Macaca mulatta: one gene and its partners. The protein of the gene in region 3 purifies or fractionates together with the protein of the main gene of each other region. This does not show direct contact. Links are inferred from orthologs where the notes say so. Each region holds a gene or a part of one and is shown on either strand. Other genes may lie near its edges.

Evidence for each region.
Region 1: the proteins of TP53RK (region 3) and GON7 purify together in Homo sapiens (affinity purification with mass spectrometry; 5 studies listed by BioGRID and IntAct, counting the BioPlex papers as one, with this or other methods). This does not show direct contact. The link is inferred for Macaca mulatta from reciprocal best matches to the Homo sapiens genes TP53RK and GON7.
Region 2: the proteins of TP53RK (region 3) and OSGEP purify together in Homo sapiens (affinity purification with mass spectrometry; 5 studies listed by BioGRID and IntAct, counting the BioPlex papers as one, with this or other methods). This does not show direct contact. The link is inferred for Macaca mulatta from reciprocal best matches to the Homo sapiens genes TP53RK and OSGEP.

Annotation. Positions count from the first base shown.
Region 1 is NC_133412.1:166,454,433-166,465,582, forward strand, and holds GON7 (EKC/KEOPS complex subunit GON7), read right to left. Parts: upstream 7,227-11,150; 5' UTR 7,207-7,226; coding exon 6,999-7,206; intron 3,942-6,998; coding exon 3,847-3,941; 3' UTR 3,059-3,846; downstream 1-3,058. Other genes in the region: putative E3 ubiquitin-protein ligase UBR7, read left to right, coding at 7,461-7,610, 9,974-10,107, 10,471-10,531. UniProt on the Homo sapiens protein: Component of the EKC/KEOPS complex that is required for the formation of a threonylcarbamoyl group on adenosine at position 37 (t(6)A37) in tRNAs that read codons beginning with adenine.
Region 2 is NC_133412.1:93,248,975-93,259,797, forward strand, and holds the start of OSGEP (tRNA N6-adenosine threonylcarbamoyltransferase), read right to left. Parts: upstream 7,047-10,823; 5' UTR 6,637-7,046; coding exon 6,522-6,636; intron 4,152-6,521; coding exon 4,032-4,151; intron 3,854-4,031; coding exon 3,678-3,853; intron 977-3,677; coding exon 881-976; intron 725-880; coding exon 675-724; intron 523-674; coding exon 444-522; intron 1-443. Other genes in the region: APEX1 (DNA-(apurinic or apyrimidinic site) endonuclease), read left to right, coding at 7,598-7,655, 7,861-8,048, 8,548-8,740, 8,871-9,388; PIP4P1 (type 1 phosphatidylinositol 4,5-bisphosphate 4-phosphatase), read right to left, coding at 10,453-10,596. UniProt on the Homo sapiens protein: Component of the EKC/KEOPS complex that is required for the formation of a threonylcarbamoyl group on adenosine at position 37 (t(6)A37) in tRNAs that read codons beginning with adenine.
Region 3 is NC_133415.1:99,485,411-99,494,451, forward strand, and holds TP53RK (EKC/KEOPS complex subunit TP53RK), read right to left. Parts: upstream 8,797-9,041; 5' UTR 8,735-8,796; coding exon 8,452-8,734; intron 6,298-8,451; coding exon 5,819-6,297; 3' UTR 3,468-5,818; downstream 1-3,467.

The DNA of each region.
Region 1 (11,150 bases), on a different chromosome or scaffold from region 3:
CGTCCTTGGCCACAGAATTCTATTATTAAAATAAACATTTCTTACTGTGACGCAAAAGGACTTACTTTTAGAAAACACATCTATCTTGCATAAATTCCATATGTTTCACATTTTAAAAGATTTATCTAAGTCTAATGTCAAGCTTATTTTTAGGTAGGATTGTGCAGTTGACTTTCCTGTTCAAAAGTAAAGTTGGAGCTGTTTCAAAGAGTAACTTTATTCTGCTTGCCTGTGGCTGTTTGTACCATAGAAGGCAGATTAGTCAGGTGCGGTGGCTCATGCCTGTAATCCTAGCACTTTGGGAGGCCAACACAGGAGGATCGCTTACAGCCAGGAGTTTCGAGACCACCCGGGGCTACAAAGCAAGGCCCCCATCTCGACAAAAAATTTAAAAATTAGCCTGGTAGCTGGGCACGGTGGCTCACACCTGTAATCCCAGCACTTTGGGAGACCAAGGTGGGTGGATCACCTAAGGTCAGGAGTTCGAGACCAGCCTGGCCAACATGGTGAAACCCTGTCTCTACTAAAAATACAAAAATTAGCCAGGCATGGTGGCAGGCACCTGTAATCTCAGCTACTTGGGAGGCTGAGGCAGCAGAATCACTTGAACCTGGGAGGTGGAGGTTACAGTGAGCCGAGACCGTGCCATTTCACTCCAGCCCGGGCAAAAAGAGTCAAACTCCATCTCAAAAAAAAAAGGCCGGGTGCGGTGTCTGTAATCCCAGCACTTTGGGAGGCCGAGGCGGGTGGATTATCTGAGGTCGGGAGTTTGACATCAGCCTAACCAACGTGGAGAAACCCCGTCTCTACTAAAAATACTAAATTAGCCTAACGTGGTGGTGCATGCCGGTAGTCCCAGTTACTCGCGAGGCTGAGGCAGGAGAATCACTTGAACCCGGGAGGTGGAAGTTGTGGTGAGCTGAGATTGCACCATTGCACTCCAGCCTGGGCAACAAGAGCGAAATTCCGTCTCAAAAAAAAAAAAAAAAAAAGAACTAAAATAAAAAATAAATTAGACTGGCGTGGTGGCACACACCTAGTGCTTGGCTGCTTGGGAGGCTGTGGTGGGAGGATCACCTGAGCCCAGGAATTCCAGTGAGCTGAGTGTGCCACTGTACTCCAGCCTGAGTGACAGTGACACCCAAGCGCAGCAGCAGATTAGAAAACCTGGCAAAGCATTTCTTCTATACTGGCCCATCTTTGTCAAACATGTGGCTTTCTTACAAAGAAGACAGTATTAGAATTGAAATCAGTATTAAAATTAATTAAAAGACCAATCTTATAAATCAGAATCTAAAAACACTGGGCCACAAACACAAATATTATCTTGAAATTTCTTCTTTATACCCACATTTTCCAAAGGAAACATAAAATGTTCAGAGAAAAGGTTCAGATATCAATTTAACAATGTGATCTATTTTCCGTATATACAGGTAAGTTTTTTTCTTTTTTGAGATGGAGTTTCGTTCTTGTTGCCCAGGCTGGAATGCAATGGCACGATCGGCTCACTGCAACTTCTGCCTCCCAGGTTCAAGCTATTCTCCTGCCTCAGCCTCCCAAGTAGCTGGGATTACAGGCATGCGCCACCACACCAGGCTAGTTTTGTATTTTTAGTAGAGATGGGGTTTCTCCATGTTGGTCAGGCTGGTCTCAAACTCTCGACCTCAGGTGATCCGCCCGCCTTGGCCTCCCAAAGTGCTGGGATTGTAAGTATCAGTCACTGCACCCAACCAGTTTTTTCTTTAATGATTGTATAGAGATAACAGTACTATAATAAATAACAGCTAAATATTAGAAACATCAGCATAAACTAAACAGATAATTTCTCACGATCTATAACTTTTTCTAGTTGGCATTGTTTGATTGCCCAAGAGTACTTAGTGGAAGGCTGCTGTTCCAAAGTAAAACAGTGTTTCAATGATATGAAAAGGTATATAGATTTTCAATGATATGAAAATTAAATTATTTCATAATAAAAGTGATTCATAAAAGTTGATTAGGCCGGGCGCGGTGGCTCAAGCCTGTAATCCCAGCACTTTGGGAGGCCGAGACGGGCGGATCACGAGGTCAGGAGATCGAGACCATCCCGGTTAACCCCGTGAAACCCCGTCTCTACTAAAAAATACAAAAAACTAGCCGGGCGAGGTGGCGGGCGCCTGTAGTCCCAGCTACTCGGGAGGCTGAGGCAGGAGAATGGCGTAAACCCGGGAGGCGGAGCTTGCAGTGAGCTGAGATCCGGCCACTGCACTCCAGCCTGGGCGACAGAGCCAGACTTAGTCTTTAAAAAAAAAAAAAAAAAAAAAAAGTTGATTAGGCCAGGCATGGTGGGCTCATGCCTGTAATCCCAGCACTTTGGGAAGCTGAGGTGGGCAGATCCCTTGAGTCCAGGAGCTCTAGACCAGCCTGGGCAATGTGGTGAAACCATCTCTACAAAGAATACAAAAAAATTAGCTGGATGTGCTGGTGCATGCCTGTGGTCCCAGCTATTTGAGAGGTTGAGGTGGGAGGATCACCTGAGCCTGGGATGCGGAGGTTGCAGTGACAGTGAGCCAAGATCGTGCCACTGCACTGCAGCCTTAGTGACAGAGTGAAACCCTGTCTAAAATGCACATGCCTGTAATTTCAGCTACTTGGGAGGCTGAGGCAGAAGAATTGCTTGAACCCGGGAGGCAGAGGTTGCAGTGAGCAAGATCGCACCAATACACTCCAGCCTGGGCAACAAGAGTGAAACTCTGTCTCAAAAAAAAAAAAAAGAAAAAAAAAGTTGATTAATGATTTCTCTCACCTTTTATCAGCTTAAAGAAAACCTAAAGGCTATTTATGTAACCCAGTACTCTGTAATCTGAGGGCAAATACTTATCCTGAGATTTATCTGTGAAATAAATCACATAGTTTGTAAAGTTACTTCCAACTCTAAAATCCCATGACTATTTGTATTTTACTAGGTACATGCTACTTGATTTCTTTGCATTGAAGCTATCTACATCAGGAAGGATGCATAGTGAATAAACATGCCTTAGTCCCACTGACAAGCAGAAAAGAAACACACACATACATACTTTAGGAATATATATTTTTAAAGGATTCAATAATCTTTTTAAAGCTAAATCAAAGCATGGCTACAGGAGGAGAGGAAATATCCAAATTGTAATCAACGCAGATTATTTACTTAAGGCCTTCCATTTGTACCTGTATACATACTATATCACAGCACAAAAGCATACCCTACCCCATCTGGCTCTCTTAAGGTACATGATAAATCAGATTAATGCACATTCATCAAGCGGCATCATCTCAGGATATCTGTATCTTTGACATGGGTATGAATTCAGGGTTTCCTTGGGTCTCTTTCAAGGACTCTCTCTTCAGTATTTCTATTTCCTCATTTTCCTTCTATTTATGAAGAACTGTTATTTTTACATTTAATGCCCACTTTTCACCACTTGTTCATGTCAGTTCTCTGAAATGTTACTGCCTATGAACCATGACGTACTGTTTATAACAGAAGCAGAAGTTAAAAGATGTAGACATCACACAAACCAATGGTTATTTTAAAAATAGAAAACAATGATAAAAATTCAGTTGCCAACTTAAGAGGATTTTATATATTATGAAGTGTTCTATTTTCCTCCCACGGTCTGAAATTTATTTCTCAAGAAAACAGGTTTTATTTCTAAGCCTTCACTGTCTTTGCTAGAAACAGAAAAACCAGTTTTCTCTTTGACAAGATTGTCCCAGGAAAACAACACAAATGCTTTTCCAAATTACAGCATAAGTCTTCCTTAAATGTCCTAGTGTGACAACTGGGATACAACAGCCATCTTTTAAATGTCATAAAGGCTATTGTTAAGATGGTGGTTTTGGCCGTTTTGCAGATGGTCCATCGAAGTTAGTTCTGTTATCAATGTTATTTTCATCTTCGGCATCATCTTCATCATCACCTTTTAAAATAAATATTTGTTGTATGACAATACGTTCTATGGTTGAAAGAAATATATATAGCTAAAGTGGTTGATAACGAGACCATTTCACTTTAGGGATTAATAAAACCATGCACATTTTAGATTAAAATGATTTTGAGAATTTCAGTGTTTAAAATCTTTATTTTCTATCACTTTCCTCTTTGGAAATATTAACTCATTCATCATAAAATCCAGTCTCTTTTTTTTTTTTGAGATGGAGTCTTTCTCTGTTACCAGGCTGGAGTGTAGTGGCGCGATCTCAGCTTACTGCAACCTCTGCCTCCAGGGTTCAAGTGATTCCTGTCTCAGCCTCCCAAGTAGCTGGGATTACAGGCACGCGCTACCATGCCCGGCTAATTTTTTGTATTTTAGTAGAGACAGGGTTTCACCATGTTGGCCAAGATGGTCTCGATCTCCCGACCTCGTGATCTGCATGCCTTGGCCTCCCAAACTGCTGGGATTACAGGCATGAACCACTGTAGCCGGCCAAAATCCACTTTTAAAAGTGTACCGCTTAGTGGTTTTTAGTATATTCACTAGATTGTGCAACCATCACCACTCTCTAATCCTAGAACACTTTCATCACTCCAAAGAGAAATGAATTATGCCCATTAGCAGTCACTTTCCATTCCCCTCAGCCTTCGGCAACCACTAATCTACTTTTGTTCCCCCTTAATTTTTATTAGTGAGAGGGTCTTGCTATGTTGCCCAGGCTAGACTCAAACTCCCAGGTTCAAGTGATCCTCCTGTGTCAGCCTCTAGAGTAGCTGGGACTACAGGTGCCCACCACTGCACCCAGCTCACTAATCTCTCTCTATGGATTTGCCTATTCTGTACATTCATATAAACAAAATCATATAACATGTACCCTTCTGTGTCTGGCTCTCACTGTAGCATAATGTTTTCAAGGTTCATTCATGTTGTAGCACGTATTAATACTTCATTACCTTTTATTGCTAATAATATTCCATTGTATGGATACACCACATTTTGTTAATGCACTCATCAGTTGATGGATATTTGCATTATTTCTATTTTTTAAAATTATCATTATTTTTAGAGATGAAGCGATGGGGCCTCACTCTGTCCTCCAGGCTGGAGTGCAGTGGAACAATCAGCCCACTGCAGCTTCAAACTCGGGTTCATGTGATCCTCCCACCTCCTAAAGGTGCAACACCAAGCCCGGTCAATTGTTGTTTCCACATTTTAGTCACTATAAATGCTGCTGCTATGAACATTCATGTGTAAGTTTTTGTGTGAACATACTTTCCAGTTCTCTTGCGAGGACTACCAGTGGAACTGCTGGGTCATGTGGTAACTTCATGTCAACTTTTTGAGGAGCTACCAAACTCTTTTTCCCAGTGGTTACACTGTTTTACATTTCCACCAACAATGTACAAGATCTCCAATTTCTCCACATTCCAGCCAACACTTGTTATTGTTCTTTTTGATCATAGCCAACATCCATATTATCAAGATGTAATTCCCAAGATGGAAGGAAAGTACAGTTTAAGCTCTTCTTAGAGAATTGTAAATCCTAACTCTAATATCTATTCTTGGATTTTTCAGCTCAGGACAGTTAAAATGTACCTGCCTGGCCAGGTGCAGCAGCTCAGGCTTGTAATTCCAGCACTTTGGGAGGCCAAGGCAGGTGGATCACGAGGTTAGGAGTTCGAGACCAGCCCAGCCAACACAGTGAAACCCCGTCTCTACTGAAAATACAAAAACTAGCTGGGAGTGGTGGCGGGCGCCTGTAATCTCAGCTACTTGGGAGGCTGAGACAGGAGAATCACTTGAACCCGGGAAGCAGAGGTTGCAGTGAGCCGAGATTGTGCCACTGCACTCCAGCCTGGGCAACAGAGCTAGACTCCATTTCAAAAAAAAAAAAAAGTACCTGCCTATTTCTGCATTCGAGGCAATTTTTAAAAAATAATGCAGTTAAACTTCACGTTTCTACTTTCAAACTGCACCTACAAAACTGGAAAGGTAAGGGAGTCTCTAGGAGTTAATACATGTTAAAATTAAGTCTGTCCCACTCCTTGGAACCTGTTCCTACTCTGCGATAGATTGTACTCTTCCAAATATGTCTGTAGTTTCACACCTGATAAAACTCCTTTTTATTCAATACTCCAGCTCAAAAGTCTTATCCTCTTTGAAGCCTTCCGAGGGTCTCTGGGTTTGCAACACTTACAGAGGGCCATAGAACCACGTTCTTTTTTTTTTTTTTTTTTTTTTTTTTTTGAGACGGAGTCTCGCTCTGTAGTCCAGGCTGGAGTGCAGTGGCGCGATCTCGGCTCACTGCAACTTCCGCCTCCCGGGGTCAAGCGATTCTTCTGCCTCAGCCTCCCCAGTAGCTGGGATTACAGGTGCCCGCCACCACTCCCAGCTAATTTTTGTATTTTTAGTAGAGACAGGGTTTCACCATATTGGCCAGGCTGGTCTCGAACTCCTGACCTCGTGATCCGCTCGCCTCAGCCTCCCAAAGTGCTGGGATTACAGGCGTGAGCTACCAGCCTGGCCACTTTCACTTTTAATAAGAGTGTCTGCCTGTATAATCCCCTTGTGTTTCACAAGGGCAGGAACTGAGTCGCATTGACCTCATTCTTCCTCCAGGGCTCAGCTCAGGGTTTGGCAAATAGTAGTAGGCATTCGGCAAGTTTTTTAGTGAAATAAATGAAATAGCGATGAGTCGTGGAAATGTTTGAGTAGAAGCAGCCCAAATATAGTGATAAATGCCAACAATTTTTATTTTTTAAATTATCTTTGAAATAACAATGGAAACGGGGTCTCGATATGTTGCCCTGGCTGTTCTGGAACTCCTGACCTCAAGTGATCCTCCTGCCTCGCCCTCCCAAAGTGTTGGGATTACAGGAGTGAGCCCCACTTCGCCTGGCCCGCCAAAAATTTTTAGATGCAATTCTTCTTTCCTCGAGGCTCACTTTGTCCAAGTCTGCCACTCTACACGGGCTCCCCAAGCCAATTTCCCCTGGCTCCCGCCCCGTCCTCCTGTCGCTGCAGCACCGTCTCAGAGCTCACCGTCCAGGGCCTCGTCTGGAGCCGCCGCCACCCGGTGCTGCACTTCCGCCTGTACCAGGGGGCCGAATAATTCCGTTACCAGCTCCTTCATCTGGGCCACGCCAGACAATAGGCCCTGGAAAGGGTCGCCGTCACCCGGCGCCTCACAGGACACCCGCAGCTTCTGCGGCTTCCCTTCCTGCCCGACATACTCTCCCAGCAGCTCCATGGTGACCACTAAGCTTCCAGAACACGACACCGGGAAGCGCCACCCGGAGGCGGAAATCAGCCCGTGGCCGGCGCAGGCGGCAGAAGGGAGAGGAGTGACATCCGTTTGTCGGAAGTCGCTCCTCCCCCTTCCTTCGCTTTTTTTCCTTGTCATTGGTTCCTGGCACTCGGGCCCCGCCTCCTCCGGCTACGCCCCTCGTGGCCGCTTTTCCCGCCTCCGCCGGGGCCGAGCCGCGGTTCGGGTGACAGTTGAGGATGGCCGGAGCCGAGGGCTCCGCTGGGCGGCAGTCGGAGCTGGAGCCCGTGGTATCGTTGGTCGACGTCCTCGAGGAGGACGAGGAGCTGGAGAATGAGGCGTGTGCTGTCCTGGGCGGCAGCGACTCCGAGAAGTGCTCCTACTCGCAGGTGGGCACGCGGCCCGGGCCTTGTCTCCCGCGGCTCCCGCCGAACCTCCCCTTCCCGGCCCGGCTGTCCCTATTCCCGCCTGCCGCAGTCGTCTCCCCAGTGGTGGTCCGGGGCCGCCGTTAGTCTGCCGCTTCCTTACCCCAAGCCCACCCTTCCCTTTTATCCCCAACCTCCTGGGCCCCCTTCAGCCTGTGTCCAGCAGGGGCCCCCATCTCCCCTCTCTCTAACTCTGTCCGGCCAGCCAGGAAGGACCCTGGAGCAGCTGCTCTGTCCGTCCTCTCCAGCCTCGTCCTGGTGCACCACTGCTTTTCACGAAACCAGCCCGCGACCTCTCAGATCCAGACATCTTTGTCCCTGCTTTTCCCATCCTAAGATTATTTATTTATTTATTAGGGACCAAATGGGAGACGTCAGGTTAAAGAGATTTTCAAATCCATAGGGATTTGCGGTGAGCTCCTTGACAGCTAGTTCCTCTGCAATTTAGTTTGACAAGTGCTAGCTAGTACTTTTTCTTTCTTTTTTTGGCAAAATGGAGCAAGTACCCATGTCTGTCTGCAGTCTGCCCTCCTCCCCTGGAAATAGACCGGAAACAGAACAGCAAGTGGCTCTGGCAAGGGAGGGGAGAGAGGAGAAAAGGATCTATTTGGCATTTGGAAGACGTTGTGAGTGAGCAAGTGTTTGAGGGGGTGTGATGTGTTTAGTGACTCACCCTATACTTCGAGGCACAAAAATGGAAAAGGATGGGTAGGAAGAAGACTGACAAAGGATAAGAACTGGCAGGAAGAAGGGTTACCGAGGCAGAGGGGTGGATTGGAACACTGGGGAGATGAGGGGAGAGACTTGCATTCATTATGTGGTATGAACTGAGGTCATAATACCAGTTCTCGTTGTTGACCAAGTTTAGTTTACACTGCAAAGTGCTAGATTGTTGAATAAACCTGGTATCCAGACATAGCCCCAGGTATTTTAAAACCTTTGGTCACCACTAAAACAATTTTTCGCCTGCTTTCCTTAAAAAAAAAAAAAAAGTTCTAAGTCTGTATGTAAACTATTTTTGAAGTGTAGTTACCTTTATAAAATGGATTCCCTTAATGTTTTCTTTTTATTGTGGTAAAAAAAAAATATGGAAATTTGCACAAATCATGTACACAGCTTGAAAGGAAAGTGTGCATGTTCCCACCACCCAGATCAACAAATAGAACATTAGGAGTGCAAAAGGCTTATTGGAAAAGAACTTTAAAAAAAAGAGAAAAGAAAGAAATAGAATTTTACTGGCATCCCGGAAGCCTCCTTGTCTATTCTTCCTCCTTCCTAGAGGAAGGTAACTATACCTATTGTACATATTCACTTTTTTTTTTTTTTTTGAGATGGAATTTCACTCTTGCCACCCAGGCTGGAGTGCAATGTCATGATCTTGGCTCACCGCAACCTCCACCTCCCGGGTTCAAGCGATTCTCCTGTCTCAGCCTCCCGAGTAGCTGGGATTACAGATGCCCGCCACCACGGCCAGCTAATTTTTATATTTTTAGTAGATGGGGTTTTTTAGAGATGGGGTTTCACCACGCTGACCAGGCTGGTCTTGAACTCGTGACCTGAGGTGATCTGCCCACCTTGGCCTCCCAAAGGGCTGGGATTACAGGCGTGAGCACTGCACCCAGCCTACATATTCACTTTTTAACATTTTGTCACATCTCCTTTTCTACTTAAAATTTGTTGTTTTAAAATTTTGAACTATTTAAAAATAAGTTGCAGACATGATGACACTATACCTCTAAATACTTCAGCATGCATCTCCTAAAAATCAAAGAGATTCTTTGCATGTGTTGATTCTCTCTTTGGTGGATTTACAAACATTTTCCAGGATGAAAGTGTGATATTACTTACATAAACCTATACATATGCTCCTGTGTTTTCACCTGTTAAAATGATTAAACAGATTCATTTATTCACAGCCGACTGACAAATTCAGACATCCTATCACTTTAAGAAAGGAGTGCTAACTTGTGTCATGGCTAATGCTTGTAATCCCAGAACTTTGGAAGGCCAAGGCAGAGAACTGCTTGAGCCCAGGAGTTTGAGACAAGCCTGGGCAACATAGCAAGACCTCGTCTCTGCAAAAAATAAATAAATTAGGAAGAAAGAAAAAAGTGCTTGCATGAAAAGCACTAGTATAAAAATGAAACATGCAACACAACTGTGTTTTGGTTGATGCTCTGCTGTGTAAACTTTTTAGTCTTAATGGTTTTTACAGAAAGATCTTGACCACAGATAATCTGATTTTAATTATTTTTCAGTTCCTAGTGTGGGTATTAGGTAAGCCATGCTATTACATTAATTCTCTTTTCCATTTTGGGGGCTTTTAGGGCTCAGTAAAGAGGCAAGCACTATATGCCTGTAGTACCTGCACCCCAGAGGGAGAAGAACCAGCAGGAATTTGTTTAGCTTGCAGTTATGAATGTCATGGAAGTCACAAACTATTTGAGCTATACACAAAAAGGTAAACATAGTCAGAGATTGTTACTAAATGCTTTTGAAGTGTAGATTCTGTCCCATCTACACTTTTTCCTTATCATGTTTTTTCATGCAAAGCTGTTGTACAGTAGTGAAATTTCATGTAATTATTTTATATAATTGGAGTTTCCAGAGCCTTTAAAAACATAATATGGTACAAACTCAAACTACTCATCTTTCTCTACCATCATTTTACTTGTGTGTGTTTGTGTGTATGTGATATAAATATTTGCTTCTGTACATATTAATTTCCAGAATTGTGAAGTCTTATGTGCTTGAATGCTTGAAGAAATTTTAAATTGGATTTTGTAAAAAGAAAAATAAAATTGTTATTTCCTCCTTTTTTCAGAAATTTTCGTTGTGATTGTGGAAACAGCAAGTTTAAAACTTTGGAATGCAAATTACTTCCTGTAAGTAAACACTGTAACTATAAATGCAGTTAGAGCAGCTGGGGTTAATATTTGCCAGAGGGGGTAAAAAACAAATACCTGTATTTTCCAAAAAAGAAGTTCTTATGCTTATTCTTTGCAGATGGCCATTTCATTTTTTACTTTGTTGGAAAAACTATATAAACTGTTGAGAGCCTACAAGATAGATGGTAATTAATATGAAAGGTTTGGGGAAGAGATGTACTTGAAAGTAATTCAGGTTTAATTATATTGGTTGTACTTATTCTCTGAGGCTTTTAAAGCAAAGGATATGACTTAAAAACAATAAACAGGGTCAGGAGATCGAGACCATCCTGGCCAACACGGTGAAACCCTGTCTCTACTAAAAATACAAAAATTAGCTGGGCATGGTGGCACCCAGTCACCTACTCGGTCAGCTACTTGGGAGGCTGAGGCAGGAGAATTGCTTGAACCCAGGAGGTAGAGGTTGCAGTGAGCTGAGATTGCACCACTGCACTCCAGCCTGGCAACAGAGCAAGACTCCATCTCAAAACGAAAACAATAAATAGACTGGCACAGTGGCTCACACCTGTAATCCTAGCATTTTGGGAGGCCGAGGGGGGCAGATCACTTGAGGTTA
Region 2 (10,823 bases), on a different chromosome or scaffold from region 3:
CCACATTCCCTTCACTGGCATCATGGTATAGAACGAACAGCATTCATTTAAGATGCAATAATTAACTTTTTGAATGCTTGTCCTAACATGTCTCACCCCTTACTTATCCTGCTTAATTTTTCACCTGTACTCATCATCATCTGACACTTCATTTATTTTCCTCTTTCTTTTATCTCCCCCACCCCCCCATTTAGAATCTAAGCTCCATGTAGGCAAGGATTTTTGTTTTGCTCCATGCTGCATCTCTACTACCTAGAACAGTACCTGGCACACAGAGATATTCAATGAATACCTTATAAATGAATTTACTCAGCACATGATATGGACCAGGAATGTGCTATATGAACATACTGAGCTATGTGAAATACAACAGTAAGTAAAACAGATATGCCTCATTTAAAAAGCATGAAGGTGCCCCGTCTCATCACCTCTCTCACACTCACCTCAATGAAAGACAGGATCCCTGAGAATGAGACGTCCATCCCCTTTACGGTGTACGGCAGCTCAACTAGCTTCTTGCCTCTGTGTGGGAATGAGTACACAAGGCACTAAGCCTACAGTCAACCGGCTTCTGACCCTCCAAAGCCCCTCCCAAGTTCTGTTCATATATACCGTATATGGGGAAATCCCTGAAGCCCCAGCAGCCAGCCTGCTTCCACCTTATGTCCCCTTACCGCTTTGCCATCTGTTCAATGTTGTATCCTGGACTTGGGTCGTTAGAAATCTAACAGAAAAAAAAATAAGGAAAGAGGGAATGGAATAGGATGAAATCAGATATGCAAGAAGCATAAGAAGATTATTTACTATTTCCTCCCTCCACCTCCATGGCTTCCCAAAAGTTCACCCGCATTTTATGTTCTCTGCAGCCCCATTGGCTTACCTTCAGCACTCGAGCAAAACGATCCAGACAATTACCCACTGCAATATCGATGGTTTCCCCAAAGATACGGTAACGATGTTCCGAGTATGCAATCACCTAAGGGTGATGAGGATGTCCATGAAACCCCAAGTCTGTAAACAGGATTATTTGGCTTTGGGAGAAAAACATAGCAGAGGATCAACATGACCACCAGAGCTTCCAATAAGAAGTGGAAGAAAGGTGTTTCCCAAATGGTGAATGGGTAATGTTTTTACAGCTCTGATTTGAAAAGACATCTGCATACCCTGAGGATTCCAGGAATAGAGTCCTAATCTACAAGACAGTCTAGGTCCAAGCAGAAATAAATTATCATTTCAAATACATTTGTTTTCCAGCTTAGAAGTTCCTAATATATTCCTTAAATGCAGTCTTGACAGTAGGGAACAGGCTTTTCTGCTGGGAGGCAGAGAACATGAATCCTTCTAAATTATGACATAGTGACAGTGTTTTTGTTGTTCTGACAGGTATTTGTTGTTCTGAGACAGGGTCTCGCTCTGTCTCCCAGGCTGGAGTGGAGTGGTGTGATCATAGCTCACTGTAGACTCGACCTCCTAGGCTCAAAGGATCCTCCCACCTCAGCTTCCTGAGTAGCTGGCCTACCATGTGTGGCTAATTTTTATATTTTTGTAGAGATCGGGTCTCACTATATTGCCCAGCCTGGTCTCAAACCCCTGGTCTCAAGCAATCTACCTGCCTCGGCCTCTCAAAGTGCTGGGATTATAGGTGTGAATCATTGTATCCAGCTGGGCACTGGTATTTAGAACCAAGAAGCAGAGTTGAAGAACTCAAAAATCTCATATGGAGGCAGATTAATGGCCCAGCCAAGTCAGCAATAGCAGTCCACTTAAGACCATTTTTCTTTTTTTTGAGACGGAGTCTCGCTCTGTTGCCCAGGCTGGAGTGCAATGGCGTGATCTCAGCTCACTGCAACCTCTGCCTCCCGGGTTCGTGCCATTCTCCTGCCTCAGCCTCCCGAGTAGCTGGGACTACAGGCGCCCACTACCACGCCCAACTATTTTACATATTAAGGCCATTCTTCATATGTGACCAACTTTTAGCACAGAGATTATCTGTCACCTACTGACACATATGCTGCAGACTTAGAACACCAAGGGTTTCCTAGGAACCTTAAGAAGTCCCTTTCCCTTCCCAGTGCTGTCAGGGATTTCTTCCCTTTCTGATACACATCTTAATCTGCTGTCAAAAAGATAGTAACAAAGAAGAAGGAAAAACCCTGCCTTTCTGCTCCTGCTATCCACTCCTCTCCACCTAATTACCCTCCCTGTTTCTTACACCTAAGCAAACATTAAAAGAGGAAGACAAAGCCGCCATTGCTCCTTTTTATCACCTCTTGTAGTCTCCATTATACTTTCCACAACCCAAGTCTCTAACCTTGTATGTCATCCTTCAGGCCTCAACCAACTACTTGCCCTCTACCTGCTGAAGTTTCCGCATCGTTTTCATGGGAAACACGTGCCTCATCTTCTAGACACAACCCTTTCATGGGCTGGGGACAATGCTGAACCATTTCTAATGATAATTAAGTGTTCTGTTGGAAAGGAATCCAATCCCAACCTTCAAAAGGTCATATAAGGTATCCCAAACAACTTTAGCTTCACTTATAAATTTAAAATATCTTCTGGCTGGGCACAGTGGCCCACGCCTGTAATCCCAGCATTTAGGGAGGCCGAGGCAGGTGGATTACCTGAGGTCAGGAGTTCAAAACCAGCCTGACCAACAGGGTGAAACCCCGTTTCTACTAAAAACACAAAAAATCAGTCATGTGTGGTGGCAGGTGCCTGTAATCCCAGCTACTCGGGAGGCTGAGGCAGAATAGTTTGAACCTGTGAGGCAGAGGTTGCAGTGAGCCAAAGTCGCACCATTGCACTTCAACCTGTACAATAAGAGCAAAACTCCGTTGCAAATAAATAAATAAGATAAAATAAAATACCTTCTATAATTTATAAAGTATTTTTATAGTTATTTATATTTCTGAACTTTTAGAACAACAAAGTCTATATAATCATCCCCAGTAATACAAAAACAAAACATGTAGTTGCCCTAAAATAATAAATCAGGTAGCGTCCCTTAGTTCCTTATTTTTTTTTTTTTTTTGAGACAGAGTTTTGCTCTCATTGCCCAGGCTGGAGTGCAATGGTGTGATCTCGGCTCACCGCAACCTCCACTTCCTGGTTCAAGCAATTCTCCTGCCCAGCCTCCCAACTTGCTGGGATTACAGGCACCTGCTACCACGCCAAATTAATTTTTGTTATTTCTAGTAGAAATGGGGTTTTGCCATGTTGGCCAGGCTGGTCTCAAACTCCTGACCTCAGATGATCCACCCACCTTGACCTCCCAAAGTGCTGGAATTACAGGTGTGAGTTGCCATGCCCAGTAACCGTTAGTTTCAGTTGCTAAGATTTACAGAAAAAATAAGCTTCAAAATAATGCAAGATCTTTCAGATATTCATTATTTTGAAGGCTTCAATCCTTACCATTCATTCCTTTCCTGAAGTAGAAATTCCTAATCTTTATGATCAGATATAAAGTCTGATAATGATAAGTCATCTAATGTTCTGAACATGCTGCCAAAATTTGCAATGTTACAAACTCGGTTGGGAGTTTTCTGGTCTACAGTATTTTAGGTTCAGATGAGTTCAGCTTTGTTCCTGACATTCCCATGACTCAGATAGAACGAAGAAGATATTGGTTCAGTGCCTCGGAAATTGAGATGGAATGGGTAGAGCACTCTAAATACCTGTGTATTTCCTCCACTGACATACAACACGGTTGGGCTGGTGGCTCCAGTGATGAGGCGGCCCATCTCGATGTGGCCTATACAGTGGTTCACACCCACCAATGGCTTATTCCACAGTTGGGCCACAGTACGGGCCACAACAGCCACAGAAACCAGTGGGGCACCCATGCCAGGGCCTAGGGAGATAGAAATGGAAGTTACAATGCTAGAGATTGGAAAAAAAATAGGTGGGGGAAGCAAGGGATGTGAGGTGGGGTAGGGGTAGTGGTGGTGGCAGAGGTAAGGTGTTGGCTATTTTGACCTAGCCAGGTTGCAGGTATATTCCTCCATCGTTGACCACTCTCCCAGCCATACCCTTGGTGTATGCAATGCAATCGATATCCTGGGAGGTTAATCCAGACTCTGTTAGTGCCTCCTGCAGCAGGTCTAGGATAACAGCTCGGTGATGCCTGGCTGTATCACCTGGAAGGAATCCTAGAAAATGAACACAGGTCAGAGATCACAGGGATTTTTGGTAGCAAAAGTAGGTAGGAAGTTAAAGAAAGCAACAGGAGGTTTAGTGATGTAGTAAGAGTCCTTTCACTTTCCCCAAGCATCCTATCTTCCACATTTTCGGATACACTCTTTCCAGCTTCTATATAGGCTGTTCAACTTTCAGAAATTCTCTTCCTCTTACCCTACTCAGCCTTCATGTCTCAATGCAAGTGGTATCTACCCATACCCTTTGGTGATCTTTTTTTTTTTTTTTTTTTTTTTTTTGAGACGGAGTCTAGCTCTGTCACCCAGGCTAGAGTGGCCTGGTGCGATCTCGGCTCACTGCAAGCTCCACCTCCTGGGTTCATGCCATTCTCCTGCCTCAGCCTCCCAAGTAGCTGGGACTACAGGTGCCCACCACTGCACCCGGCTAATTTTTTGTACTTTCAGAAGAGACAGGGTTTCATTGTGGTCTCGATCTCCTGACCTCATGATCCACCCGCCTCGGCCTCCCAAAGTGCTGGAATTACAGGTGTGAGCCACCGCGCCCCGCCTTTTTTTCTTTCTTTTGAGACGGAGTCTTGTTCTGATGCCCAGGCTGGACTGCAGTGGCACGATCTCGGCTCACTGCAACCTCCGCCTCCTGAGTTCAAGCAATTCTTCTGCCTTAGCCTCCCAAACAGCTGGGACTACAGGCGACGCCACCACACCCAGCTAATTTTTGTATTTTTAGTAGAGACGGGGTTTCACCATATTGGCCAGGCTGGTCTCAAACTCCTGACCTCGTGATCCGTCTGCCCTGGCCTTCCAAAGTGCTGGGATTACAGGCCTGAGCCATCGCGCCCAGCCTGGTGACCTTCTTTCTCTGTGACCCTACAGAACTCTGTGCATGATGATGTCATTTATTTAACAATTACAACATAATAATTTTCTGTGGTTTGCTCAGCTTAATCATGAGTATCTCAAAGCAATAAGTATTTTATCTTTGTATTCCCAGTGCCCAAGTGCCTAGAGGAGTGAATGCTAAACATACATACCTATTTCTAATGAGTAATCTGTCACATCACCTGTTCAGGGAGGCTTTTCAGATACATGGAAATCAGTTGCCCCTCTCCTATGTATGCAAGTGTTTGAGGGGAGAGTAGGCAAGATACAATGGCTTATTAAAAGTTGTAATGTGTTTTGTACTTTCTTTTTTCTTTTTTATTTTTTTGAGACGGAGTTTCACTCTTGTTGCCCAGGCTGGAGTGCAATGGCATGATCTCGGCTCACCACAACCTCAGCCTCCCGAGTAGCTGGGTTAACAGGCATGTGCCACCACGCCCGGTTAATTTTTTATATTTTTTAGTGGAGACAGGGTTTCTCCATATTGGTCAGGCTGTTCTTGAACTCCGACCTCAGGTGATCCACCCCGCCTGGGCCTCCCTAAGTGCTGGGATTACAGGCGTGAGCCACCACACCCAGACGTGTTTGGTACTTTCATCTAATCTTCAACACCTAATGATACAGGTATTATTCCCATTTTAAAAACAAAGACTAGGCCCGGGCGGTGGCTCATGCCTGTAATTTTCACACTTTGGGAGGCTGGGGTGGGCGGATCATGTGAGGTCAGGAGTTCGAGACCAGCTTGGCCAACATGGTGAAGCCCCGCCTCTACTAAAAATACAAAAATTAGCTGGGTGTGGTAGCACACACCTGTCTGTAGTCCTAGCTACTCGGGAGGCTGGGGTAGAAGAATCTCTTGAATCTGGGAGGCAGAGCTTGCAGTAAGCCGAAACCGTGCCATTGCATTCCAGCCTGGGCAACAGAGCAAGACTGTCTCAAAAACAAATTAAAATAAAAAATAAAGACCAAATGTCCAAAACATAAATATTTAATGTGAATACAGCACAGCCAGCCAGTTCTCTGACATGTAAGCTGGGAGTCTTTCCACTCTCATCTCTCTACTCATCCTAGAATATTTCAAAAAATAAAAATTTTTAAAAAAGGAGTGTATATTCAGGGCAACTGGAATATATACTCCTGCTAAGCGTTTTTTAAACAGAATATTTCGAGTCCATCTCTATTACACTGTTTATCATGCTGTAGTATAAACATCTATTTATATGTCTGACTCCACAGCAGTATCATAACATCTATTTCTGAATGCTTAGCACATAAAATGAGCTCAATAAACGGTAAACGAACTCATCAGATCCACGTCCAAGTGCTTGTAACTCTTCTAGTCATCAGCCTTGTGACGTTAATAATATCACATAATTTCAATAAGACTCAGATCAAAAGCTGCACCTCACTAGTATTTAGGAAGATGGAAGGCTGATTTTCTGCGGGGAAGTGCGCCGAAAACTCTTAACTCCCCTACTCACCCACCTGTGCCCGGAGGCGTGACATAAGTCCGCCGCGGGTTCGCCAGCACCTTGCCATCCCGCACCACACCCACGCCAATCTTATTGGCGCTGCCTTCAAAACCCAGCACCGCCGGCATGGCGGAGCCTGGGAGAAAACGCCGACAGGACTCCTAGCAACGTCAGGAGCTGTGGAAGTCCTCACTAGTCTGCGCTGGGCCGCAGCTTTCCGGAGCGCAGAAGAAGCGGGCTAGCCTGCAGATAACAGTGGGAAAGACAGCGCAGAACTCCCGCGAGCGGAGACCCGCCAAGGCCCCTCCAAGGACCTGTCTTCCTAACTGCCAGGGACGCCGAGCCGACTCTGTGCTTTACAATCCTATCCGTTTTCCTATATCTTTCCCGTGGTCCAGCCCAACCTTCTCCACTTTTTTTTCCCTTTGCACAGCGTTAGACTCTTAAGTCAGAGTCAAACAATGTGCCGTGCGTCGGGCACAACGATAAACAGCCCGAACGAGGGTTGGGGCCCTAGGTCTCCTAGAGAATTAGTTGAGAGAGGCAAGGCCAAGCGACTTCGTCACGTGGTGTCAGACAGACCAATCACGCGCATTCTTCGGCCATGTGACGCGTGCCTCTGATCACGTGACCAGGTCCGCTACCCACGTGGGGGGCTCAGCGTGCATCCTTCTTTGTGCTCGGGTTAGGAGGAGCTAGGCTGCCATCGGACCGGTGCAGATACGGGGTTGCTCTTTTGCTCATAAGAGGGGCTTCGCTGGCAGTCTGAAGGGCAAGCTTGAGTCAGGACCCTTAATTAAGATCCTCAATTGGCTGGAGGGCAGATCTCGCGAGTAGGGTACAAGGCACTATGAAATGATCTAGTTACGTGGGTGAGGGGCTGAAGGGCCTATGATGCACGGAGGCGGGGAAAGGATTTAGAGATAACATGGTTTGAAAGGCGGGACCTGGTGCGGGGACGCTCTTGAGAGGAGTCTTCTCCCCAGGCTTAGCTGGTTTCATGATTTCTTTGCGTCTGTAGGCAACGCGGTAAAAATACTGCTTTGGTGGGCGACGCGGTACAGGTGCCGAAGAGCGTTCGTTACGGGAATGCCGAAGCGTGGGAAAAAGGGAGCGGTGGCAGAAGACGGGGATGAGCTCAAGACAGGTAAGAATGAAATGAGCCCCTCTTCCTAGAAGCTACGGCGGGGTTGTTTGTAATTCCCTTGATGAACGGTAAGTACCGGCCAACTCATTTTTGCAGGGGTTTGTGAAGACGCAGTAACCGCAGGCTTTCGTTGGGTCCATAGCTAACGCCGGATCGCGGTTGGAAACCACCCACTTTTTATCAATATATATTACTCATTTTATAGAGCCAGAGCCCAAGAAGAGTAAGACGCCCGCAAAGAAAAATGACAAGGAGGCAGCAGGAGAGGGCCCAGCCCTGTATGAGGACCCCCCCGATCAGAAAACCTCACCCAGTGGCAAACCTGCCACACTCAAGATCTGCTCTTGGAACGTGGATGGGCTTCGAGCCTGGATTAAGAAGAAAGGATTAGATGTGAGTGGTGTTTGAGGGGAAGACACATTCTTTAGTATTGAATGATCTTAGGGTTTAGTCATCCCTTTTCTCCGTATAGCCTTCAGGCTGTTTTTTCTCCTGCCTGCAGTTTTCGGTGGGGCTTCCCCAGTCTTGCCAGTTGTATTTCCTAAATGTCTGCTCCTTCACTTCCATTGCCATTTTCTTTTTTAATGTTCTCTCCTCTTCCCAGAATGTTGCAAAAACCTTTTACTATACTTCCTCCATTTTATCTTCAGCATGTCCTCCATTTCATTAATTATAGCTTAAAAATCTTAGCTTGCCTATAGAAAAAACACATTCATAGTATAGCACGTAAGACTTTACCTCTGTTTTCATTTATCTAGCTTCGAATTGTTTAAATATTATTTAACCTCGAACTGCTTGACTGTTTAACCTGTGCATATTTATGACTTGGCATATATTCAATAAATGTTCTGCTGAATTGATAATACATTTTCCACCTTTCTTTTACTTATAGTGGGTAAAGGAAGAAGCCCCAGATATACTGTGCCTTCAAGAGACCAAATGTTCAGAGAACAAACTACCAGCTGAACTTCAAGAGCTGCCTGGACTCTCTCATCAATACTGGTCCGCTCCTTCGGACAAGGAAGGATACAGTGGCGTGGGCCTACTTTCCCGCCATTGCCCACTCAAAGTTTCTTATGGCATAGGTGAGACCCTATTGATGCCTAATGCCTGAACTCTTCAAGACCAATTGCTAATTCTCCATCTCTCCCCCACCTCTTGATTGCTTTTCCTTTTCTTACAGTTTTTTATGCTAATTCTGTTTCGTTTCTGTAGGCGAGGAGGAGCATGATCAGGAAGGCCGGGTGATTGTGGCTGAATTTGACTCGTTTGTGCTGGTAACAACGTATGTACCTAATGCAGGCCGGGGTCTGGTACGACTGGAGTACCGGCAGCGCTGGGATGAAGCCTTTCGCAAGTTCCTGAAGGGCTTGGCTTCCCGAAAGCCCCTTGTGCTGTGTGGAGACCTCAATGTGGCACATGAAGAAATTGACCTTCGCAACCCCAAGGGTAACAAAAAGAATGCTGGCTTCACGCCACAAGAGCGCCAAGGCTTTGGGGAATTACTGCAGGCTGTGCCACTGGCTGACAGCTTTAGGCACCTCTACCCCAACACACCCTATGCCTACACCTTTTGGACTTACATGATGAATGCTCGATCCAAGAATGTTGGTTGGCGCCTTGATTACTTTTTGTTGTCCCACTCTCTGTTACCTGCATTGTGTGATAGCAAGATCCGTTCCAAGGCCCTCGGCAGTGATCACTGTCCTATCACCCTATACCTAGCACTGTGACACCACCCCTAAATCACTTTGAGCCTGGGAAATAAGCCCCCTCAACTACCATTCCTTCTTTAAACACTCTTCAGAGAAATCTGCATTGTATTTCTCATCTATAAAAATAAGAATCCTACAACCAGGCTCCTGTGACAGATTTAGAGTTCTTTTAAGCCCAAGAGTTTTTATTTGAGGGTTTTTTCTTTTTTAAGAAAAACTGAACAAAGACTACTAATGACTTTGTTTGAATTATCCACACAAAAATAAAGAGCCATAGTTTCAGCCTTGCTGTCTTTGTGTCTTACCCCTTCGTGGGGCTACACATTCCCTTCCTCGTATTTTCGTGCATACAAGTTAACAACTGAAAAAGGGTAGAGTCATGACCTTATTTATTTACAAGCACAGGATAAGTCCCTAATCTCCCCCAAAGACTGAGCAACTCTACCCAGCCCAGTTAAATACTGCAACTGGGAGGGGGGGGGGGGTAAAAAAGGTTGGAAGGAGGAATTAAGGGAAATACAGGAATAGGGGAACATATCCCACATTAAATAGTTATATACACATCAGTTCCTGTGGTTCTGTACAGAGCAGCGGCTGACCCCACCCCCACAGGAAACAATGTGGGGAGAGGAGACTGAGGGTACTGAGGCCAGAGCCAACCTCTGGTGAAGTGCAATAGCAGCAGCAAAGTCCTAATGGTGCACAAGAGGGAGGGGAACCCCCAGGGCTACCCACCCCCACCCTGCCCTGGAATGTGTAAGGGACAGGAATGGCTCTCAGGGAGCACACAGGAAGGACAAGGCTGGAACCGTCTTTAGGACCCAGTTTTAAGGGCAACGTTTTGCCTACTTCACCCTAGACACAGCAACCCTTGGAGGAAAGCAGATGGTCAGCAGTGCTCTTATCTGCCCCTCCAAACCTAAGTGAGGGCCTGGTTCCTTCCTACCTCTCCCCAGGGAAAAGGAAGGCAGCTGCTTGGCTTCCTTATAGAAGCCCCGGGAGCCTTTAACTACCCCAGCTCCCTTCGTAGTGTCACTGTCCCCACCAGGGAGGGGCCAGGCACAGTCTGTGGGTCATCAGGCTCAGGAGAAGTTCTGGACAGGGTGGCTGACCTTCATACAGGCCCAATAAAGGGCCCGGCCCAAACACAGCACAGCCAACAGGATGACAAATGCCCAGGCTGCATAGATGCCTCCATATCGCCGTGCATGCTTCCATGTGCCAAACTGATGAAGGTAAGGAGGGAGAAGAAAAGAAAGATGGGGTTAATGTTGGTCTCCACTACCTCCTATTAGTCCTAAGAACAGTAATAACTCATGCTTCAGTCCTTGTTTCTTATCCACATATAGCCACCCTCAGGGACCTTCTTAAAGGCAGAGCTGTTCAGCTCCCTTCCCTTAGGCAGTAACATACTCATCCCATCCCACACTGTATCTCAGTTTTTCTTCATATC
Region 3 (9,041 bases):
ACTCACAGCAATTCCACCATGCAGCACCATTGTGAGTCCATTTTGCAGATGAGGACACTGAGGCTCAGAGAGGTACGAGGAGGGGATCCCAGGCCATGCACCTGGTAAACAAGGAGACATGGGCTGGGAAGCCAGCATATTTGTGAATAGAGAAGTGGCATGTTCTGGCTTTAAAAGGGTCCCCTGGGCTGCTGAGTGAGGAAGAACAGAAGGGGCCAGGACAGAGGCAAGGGTGCCCTAGGCTGCAGCTGGACATTGTCATCCCTGCAGCTTCTTCAGAAGAGCCAGACACAGCCCATGTGCTCACTAAATACCCAGTGAAGAAGTGAGTGAAGAGAGAATGGATGAAAACGTTAAGACCGGAAGGAACCAGACATCCTCACGTCTGTCTCGCTCATTACATGGTGCATAATTAGCACAGTGCCTGCCACACATAGGTGCTCAGCTAAGGTGGTGTTGAGTGAATAAATGAACATGTTCAAGGAAGGGAGAGAGGGGAGGAAAGGAGGCCGGGACTTGGGAAGAAAAGATGGAAGTAGACGAAGGAAAAGGGGAGAAAAGAAGGGGAGGAAGAAAGAGGGGAAGGAGGGAGGAGGAAGAGAAGAAAGTGAAGGGAGGTTTCTTTACCTGTTCGCACCGAGAATGACAGTAACTTACGACCCCTGGTGGCAGAAAAGTGCAGTCCATTGAAATTGCGGTGCCTAGAATTAAAGAAAAGGGAAGACTCCTAGTTCCCCAAGAACTAGGCTGCATTCGTTTGTTTTCTGTTGCTTTTAACAGAATACTTGAAACTGGGTAATTTATAAAGAAAAGGAGTTTACTCCTTATTGTTATGGAGGAATACAAGGTCAAGGGGGCACATCTGGTGGTGGCATAGCCTTCTTGAAGGTGGGGACTCTACAGAGACCTTAGGCGGCACACGGCATCATATGATGAGGGTGCTGGGCATGTTAGCTCAGGTCTCTATTCCTCTTACAAAGCCACCAGTCCCGCTCTCATAATAACCCATTATGTATTAATCCACATGTGGATTAATCCATTCATGAGGGCAGAGGCCTCAGGATCCAATCACCTCTTAAAAGCCCCATCTTTCACTACTGCTAAGTTGGGCAGTTTCCAGCACATGAGATTTGGGGAACACATTCAAACCATAGCAGGTGCGGGCCCTTTTAAGAACATGGACTCCTCCATCAGGGTTCTGGCAGTCAGTGACAACTGGGTTAGAACTAGGGTGAAGCAAGCGAGGCACAAATTTAAGGGGGCACCCAAAAACTCAATAATCAAGACAAATATCTTAATGGGATGGTTTTAAAAATCAAATTGGCAAACTATGGCCCACAGGCTGACTGATTTGTAAATAAAGTTTTATTGGAACCAGGGTCAGGAACATGGTGAACTCTTGCAGTTAAATCAGAGATTATGCCCTGCATGTCTTCACTAATGTAGGTGTTCCCAACCCCTAAGGTAGCACGTGTTGTGGGCATGGTCGGTTCAGCTCATCCAACAATAAGAACACAGCTTGTTTGGAGCACTCCCCCAGCTTTAAAGCAACTCTACTCTGGAACTACCTCTCTTGGCCCCATGGACTGGCCACAAAAGCACTTTTCAGTGTTCCAGGAATGTGGGCCTGTGTCAAGTGTTGGTCGCATCTCAGTGTCCTATCACATTTCCCTGGCGCTGCCATTCGCTAAGTGGCATGGGGCAGGACTTAATTTCTCTGTCTCATTTGCTTTTTCTGTAAAATGGGTTAATGCATGCAAAGAATGCAACTCTATAATAAAGTCAGCTGCTGCTGTTAAAAGCATGGGTTTGAATCCCAGCTGTCACTTACTGTGACCCTAGGACATGATATTTCCTATTGCTGTTTCCTCCACCATAAAATGGAGATTATAATCCTCATCTGGTTGGGTTTAGGTGGGGATTCACACAAAACTGCTAGTGCTTTTGGCTCAGCACTGCAAAGCACCTGCAGCTCCCCCGTGGACATCAAGGGATCTGAAAGTGCAGAGGGTTCCTTAGCCCTTTGTGACACGGAACTAGGGAAGGAATCCACTGTTTACCTAGGAACGTTTGTTAACCCTTTATTTCCCACTGTGGGCCACGGGCTAAGTGTGCAGATGGGCGATTCTCCTCCTGGGGGCATTTGTGACGTTTCTCCAGTCTCCAATATCTGCCACTCTCCCTCTGGATACTAGAAAAGATCATTACTGCTTCCTGACAGCTGTGGCTACCCCAATTATCACTGGCACTGAGACTGGAGGTAGAAAGAAATTATTTAGGCAGATATTGAGGGCAAAAGAGTCATCAGCTGAATTTCCCTTCTAACAAAAAAGCAGTCCCAGAAATCATTTCTTTTCTAACAAAGAGCAGCCTGAAAAATCCAGCTTCAAACATAGATAAGGAAGCTGGAAGCTTGCACAGGGGAATACTGGCAGCTGTGCCAATAGAAAAGGGCTACTTGGGGGCCACGCATGTCCGACACAGAGGCTCCATCTTCCCTTTTAGCACGTGTACAGTAATAAAGAAGTGGGCAACATGGCACAGCTCAGGCAGAGAACTCGCCTGCATAATAAAAGATTGGGGTGGGGGTGCCCAGAGATTCATACCCTATGCCAGTGGCACACCTGGGTCCAACCAGTTTTGCACACCCTATGTAGATTAGACAGTACCTCCTCACCAGCTCATCTATAAAACCCCCTGCAGATCTGCTGGATCACCGCAGATCCAGCAACCCATTTTTCCAGGACCCCTCTTGTAATAGTTTAATTTCTTTCAACTATTAAATTTCTGCTCTTCAACTCACTCTTTGTGGGTCCATGTCCTTGATCTCCATGACCATGAGACAACGAACCTCGGGTGTTCCCCCAGACAAGGCTGCTTCTCCACTGCGTTCCCTGCCTCGGTGGCTGCCAGGTCCTGTGCCAAGCAGTTGGAGCATGCTCGCCACGGCTTCCACCCTGGCTACTGTTTTCACTGGCCCAGCTGGTTTTGGTCGCCTTCTCACTTCCAGGTTTCTTGCTTCCACTCTTGCCGTCTATGGTTTTCTGCCAGCAACCAATGCAACTCTTTCAAAACAATCAGGTGTCACCCTGTTAAAAATCCTGAGTCCCATTAAGAACAAAACCCAACCTTGTAACAGGGCCCTGCAGGATCTGGCCCTGCCTCTCCCATCGCATGTTCTGCTCCTCCTCCTTGCTCACTGATGCCAGCCACACTGGCCTTGCTGTCGGGGATGTTCCTTCCTCACCAACTTCGCACGCCACAGCCTGCCTGGGATATACTCCCTTCATCTCCCGTGTTTCTGGTTTTCCTTCACCTCTTCACTCATCACTGTCTGAAACTGCCTTATTTTACGTTCCCCAGGAAAGTAAACTTCATGTTCCCCTCTATTAGATCTCTAGTGCCTGGCACATAGTGAGTACTAGTGTATTACTCACGCTGCTAATAAAGACATACCCGAGACCGGGTAATTTATAAAGGAGAAGTTTAATTACTCACAGTTGAGCATGGCTGGGGATGCCTCGGGAAACTTACAATCATGGCGGATGGGGAAACAAACACATCATTCTTCACATGGCAGCAGGAAGTGCCAAAAAGAGGGAAAAGCCCCTTATAAAACCATCAGATCTCATGAGAACTCACTCACTATCACAAGAACTGCATGGAGGTAGCCGCCCCCAGGATTAAATTACCTCCCACTAGGTCTCTCCCGTGTCACGTGGGGGTTACAGGAACAATTCAAGATAAGATTTGGGTGGGGACACAGTCAAACCATATCAACTAGGGCTTTGTTGATTTAATGCACATAAGCCAACCATACCCCACAAAGTAGGTACTAGCCTTATAGTACATGTGAGGAAACTGAGGAATGAGGCATCTCATTCATGTTGGGAATATTAATTGAAAAACTTGTCAGCTCCTGTGGTCCTTGGAGTTCCTTGAAAATAATGTTATATGCCAATACTTCTTATAGTACTGTGAAGACGCACCATATCCCATATCTCTTTTGTCAGTGGAAAGAACAGATTTGGAGCCAAGTAAAAGTACCTTTGGCTACCTGTGACGTCTAGGACAAGTTCCCACCTTTTGGTGCCAGTTTCTCCATCTATAAAATGGGGACAACGCTTAACTTAAGAGTTATTTTAGATCCAATATAAAAATTCCCAGCCCAATGCCTGACATGCAGTAAACAGGCAATGATACTGTTTTTCCTCTCTACGAGTCACAACTACCCAGGAAGGGAGTTTTCACCATTCCTGGCCATCCACCCCATGCTGGACACTGGGGGAGTGCTGACTGTGATGAACGAAACAAACAGGGTACTGGTCCTACTATTACAGAATGTTTGCTTCATAAGAACAGGCACTGACTGTATCATCTCTCAACACAACGGAATGAAGCTAGGAATGAGTAACAAAAGAAAAACTGGAACATTCACAAATGTGTGGAAATTAACAGATTTCTAAACAATCAAGTGGTCAAAAAAGAAATCACAAGGGAAATTAGAAAATACTTCGAGATTAATGAAAACAAAAACACAAAATACCAAAACTGAGAGTGTGTGATGAAAAGTGTGCAGAGAGAAATTCATAGCTGTAAATGTCTATATTAAGAAACAAGAAAGTAACTATGTGAGGTGATGGGTGTTAATTAGCTCGGCTGTAGTCATCATTTCATAATGTGTATCAAAACATCACACTACTTAATAATTTTTTATAAAAATAAATTTTCTTACAAAAGAACAGGCGCTATGTCTGTCTGGCTCACCATTGTACCCAACACCCAACAGGGTGCCAAGGAACATAAAAGGTACTCAAAATATGTTTGTTGATTGGAGTTTACAAGGAAGAAAGGTATTTTATTATACATCCGTTCCCTTCCCACCCACACACAGCTTCTTCTAAGAAAAGAAATTGAGGCTGGGCAAGGTTAAAAGCTAGCTCCTGGTACCTTTGCATCCACACTCAGCTTATCTGTACCTTAAACCAGACTTCATCAAACTTCAGTCTTCACAAGTCACTTCATCATTTTTGCTCTACCTACTCATTGCCTGTGACAGAAATCAACTCAGTTTGCTTACCTGTATAAACTTAAAAGGAACTTTATATCAATCACTTGTCTTAGAAGGTAACCACAAAAATACAAAACAATAAAAATAAAAACAATGTTAACATGAATTTCAGTTGCCTGAAAGCTGTAAGTCTGCTTTTTTAAAAGAGAAATTGGAGTTAAGCAGATTTTTCATTTTTTGATCATGACCCTGAAAGAGAAATATATTTGACATCAAAACTCAGTACATATCCTTGTCTACATATACATGTGAAAGTTTCATAAAACAATATTGATATTTTCTATGCTGCAATTCTATTTCATTTTTAAAAATGCTGGTTGTATCCCATTAAACTGGTTTCAAAATAAATATATCATGTACACAACAAAAAAAACACTGGGTTAGAGGGCCAGTAAGCTCAGTGAGTATCACTGAGACTTCATCCTTGTCTCACAAGGACTAAAAAGAGAGTAACATTCTCATTATGTAGTTCAATGCCACACCCATATAACTGAGACATACATGTCACAATCTGGGAGAAGCCTGTCCTAGATTTAAATACCCAGTTCTGCCTAGAACATGACTCAGACACATAGTAAGCTCTTGAGTAGAGTGAAGTGCAGATGATAATGACACCACAGGCACGATCACACACCACTTAAAAATATCTTAACACCTTTACTTAGATCTCATCTCATACTTTTAGTATTTCTTCAAATTTACTTTGAAAAAAGAGCTTCACTGTGTGTGGCTGTCATACACATTTTCCTACCCAACCATGGTCCTCTTTCTTCCTCTCAGGCGCACTTCATCTAATTTTTTTAGCACTGGCCTGGCCTTTTTGGAGGAGGTGGAGTAGCTCTTCAAAAAGGCTTCAAATACAGTTTCAGTGTTGGGATGGGTACTGAGGAAGGCCTTCTCCAGGACATAGAGGTCTACTCCCTTATCCTCTGGAAGTGCCGAAATGAAGCTCAGCCCAAAGTCTATGAGGACAATGTTCAGCTGTTCCAGGGGGGGTTTCAGGAGCATGTTGGAGGTGGTGAGATCACCATGAATGAGGTCTTCATCGTGCATTCGAGCCAAAACCTGCCCAATTGTCTTGGCTAAGTTGGAGAGACTTTGGGGAGTTTTTTCAGTCTCCATAGTAGACTGAATATAATCTCGAACAGTCACTGAGCCTTCAATTTCTTCCATATATAAGCAGTTGGAAGCATAGTCCACAAAAAAGACAACTGGGGCAGATATTCCTGAAATCAAGACATAAGTGGTTATTGGGTTGGATTTTTTTTTAATGGATAAACTTAATTTTCAAAGATTAAGCCAGTTTTTCCATCTATATCTACTTATTTCAGGATGATTTAGGAATGCTACAGGGAATGGTACAACTGAATGGAATATTCCCCTGCTCCTGCCCCCTGCAGGACTATACCTGGGACCACCCCACAGCTAAACTGAGGAGGCCATAGCTTCCTCCTCCCTTCCAAACCACCCTTTCTCACTGAACTTCATTTGTCACACTCACTCTCTAAAAAACAAACAAAACAAAGGCCGGGTGTGGTGGCTCATGCCTGTAATCCCAGCACTTTGGGAGGCCGAGGCAGGCGGATCACTAGAGGTCAGAAGTTCGAGACCAGCCTGGCCAACAGGGTGAAACCCCATCTCTACTAAAAATACAAAAATTAGCAGAGCGTGGTGGTATGCACCCGTAGTCCCAGCTACTCGGGAGGCTGAGGCAGGAGAATAGCTCAAACTCAGGGGGTAGAGGTTGCAGTAAGCCGAGATTGCGCCACTGCAGCACTCCAGCCTGGGTGACAAAGTGAGACACTGTCTCAAAATACAAAAACAAACAGCAAGGCACAGCCCAGTCAGAGCAGTTTCTACTGATGAGGACACAAACAGGAGGCCAAGCAGTGTGCTGGCTTCGAGGTTCATCTTCACAGTCAGAGAGGACAGGGTTCAAATCCCAGCTCCTTTTCTTATTAGTTGTCTAATCTAATCTTAAAATTACATTAACTTCTCGGCCAAGGCAGGTGGATCACGAGGTCAGGAGATCGAGACCATGCTGGCTAACATGGTGAAACCCCGTCTCTACCAAAAATACAAAATATTAGCCAGGCGTGGTGGCAGGCGCCTATAGTTCCAGCTATTCTGGAGGCTGAGGCAGGAGAATGGCGTGAACCCTGGAGGTGGAGCTTGCAGTGAGCCGAGATTGGCCACTGCACTACAGCCTGGGGGACAGAGCGAGACTCCGTCTCAAAAAAAAAAAAAAAAATTACATTAACTTCTCTAAGTCTCAGTTTCTGCTACAATAAACTCAAATGAATTTTTACTGAAAGTCAACCAGGCTCAGTATACTTTTCTAGAAACTGAGAGATGTATCAATGGGGATACAGCAATAAACAAGCCAGCTATAATACAATCTCTGCTTAACGAAACATATCATAAGAGGCTGAAAACAGAAATATGAACACACAAATAAGTTCGTGAAATCTTCAGTCTCTGAAAGGGCAGCAATGTGTCTGCTTGTTGGCTACTGAATGTCCCCCCTTGCTAGATCTCCCAGCACTTAACAATGTCCTGGCACCCACAAGTACCTAAAAAATACTAATAAAAGAAAGGCACGAAGCGTAAAATTAAAAAGCCAGTACTTCTGAGTCAGAGGCATACGGAGCTGAGGGCCTGGACCGGCCACTTAGTAGCCGTGTAACCTTGGGCAAGTTACTTCTCTCTGAGTGTCACTTTCTCAACTGAGGACAAGGTTTATGGCGCTGGCGCACAATAAATAGGCAATTTAATGAAATCCAACACTTACTGAGCACTATGTGCCAGGCACACATTCGAACATAATACACTGCACACAGACCTCCTCTAATGGTCACAACATCCCTATGACATGGATATTGCTACTATGTCTCCCATTTTACAGGTGAAAAAACCGAAGGTGAGAGGCTAAATAACTTGTTGAAAGGCTACATAAGCAGCAGAGTTAGTATTTCAACCCAGACAGCCTGGCTCCAGTGGGGCAAGTACTTGTAATTACATGTTTCTTAAAACTAATAAATGAAAAGATAATGATCGAAAATTGAAACGAGTCAAATGGGGAAATCAAGGCTCAGGGAAGTTAAAGATGTTCGACGTTGACCAATAATGACAGCGTCCAGATTTGAACCTGGCAGAACGGCCCCAGGACAAACGCTTGACGCTGCAAGGCCACGTGGTTTCTTAAGACTTAACGAATGAAGAAAGGGATGAAAGAATAACATTTCCGAAAGGCTGGCCACGGCAGAAGGCACAGAAGGAGAAACTGAGGCAAACCGAGGCTCGGAGCGCAGGAGAGTCCCTCACCCGCCCAGGCCCCAGAGCCTCGGGGCCGCCCACGCCAGGATCCGGGCCCTCCTTACCCGCGCGGCGGCAGCGGAGGAGAGCCCGCGCTTCCTGCACCGTCCGCCGCCGGCCAAGCCGCGCCTCCAGCGCCGGGTGCCGGTAGCCCTTGGGGAAGCGGTGCTTTATCACAGCCGCGCGGCCCTGGAAGCGGCCGCGGAACACGCGCGCCTCGGCGCCCTGCTTCACCAGCTCCAGGCCTCTCAAGAAGCGGCTGCTTCGCTCCCGGGCCGCGGCCAGAGCCTCAGCCTCTGGCGCGGGCTCCTCGCCATCGTCCGGGGCAGCAGGTCTGGCCGCCGCCATGACTGTGCTCGGCGGTACAGCTCCGACCGACCCGCTCTCTCTGAAAACTGTCGCGATGCTTCGGCTCGCTTCGGAAATCCTGGTACTTCTTCGGTTACCCGAACGCTTCCGCCCCGGACACTTCCGGCCTGTGAGTGGTTACGCCTCCCAACCTTTCGGCTCTCTGAAGCCTTGGGTTCCCTGCAGGAAGGGTTCCTGTGGCCCCGCCTTTCACCTCTTCGGCTATCTCCGTACACGTTCGGCAACTCTCGGTAAGTGGCTCTTCCCTACTCCTTGGCTCTCCGGAAATCTTCGGTGATTCCCGCAA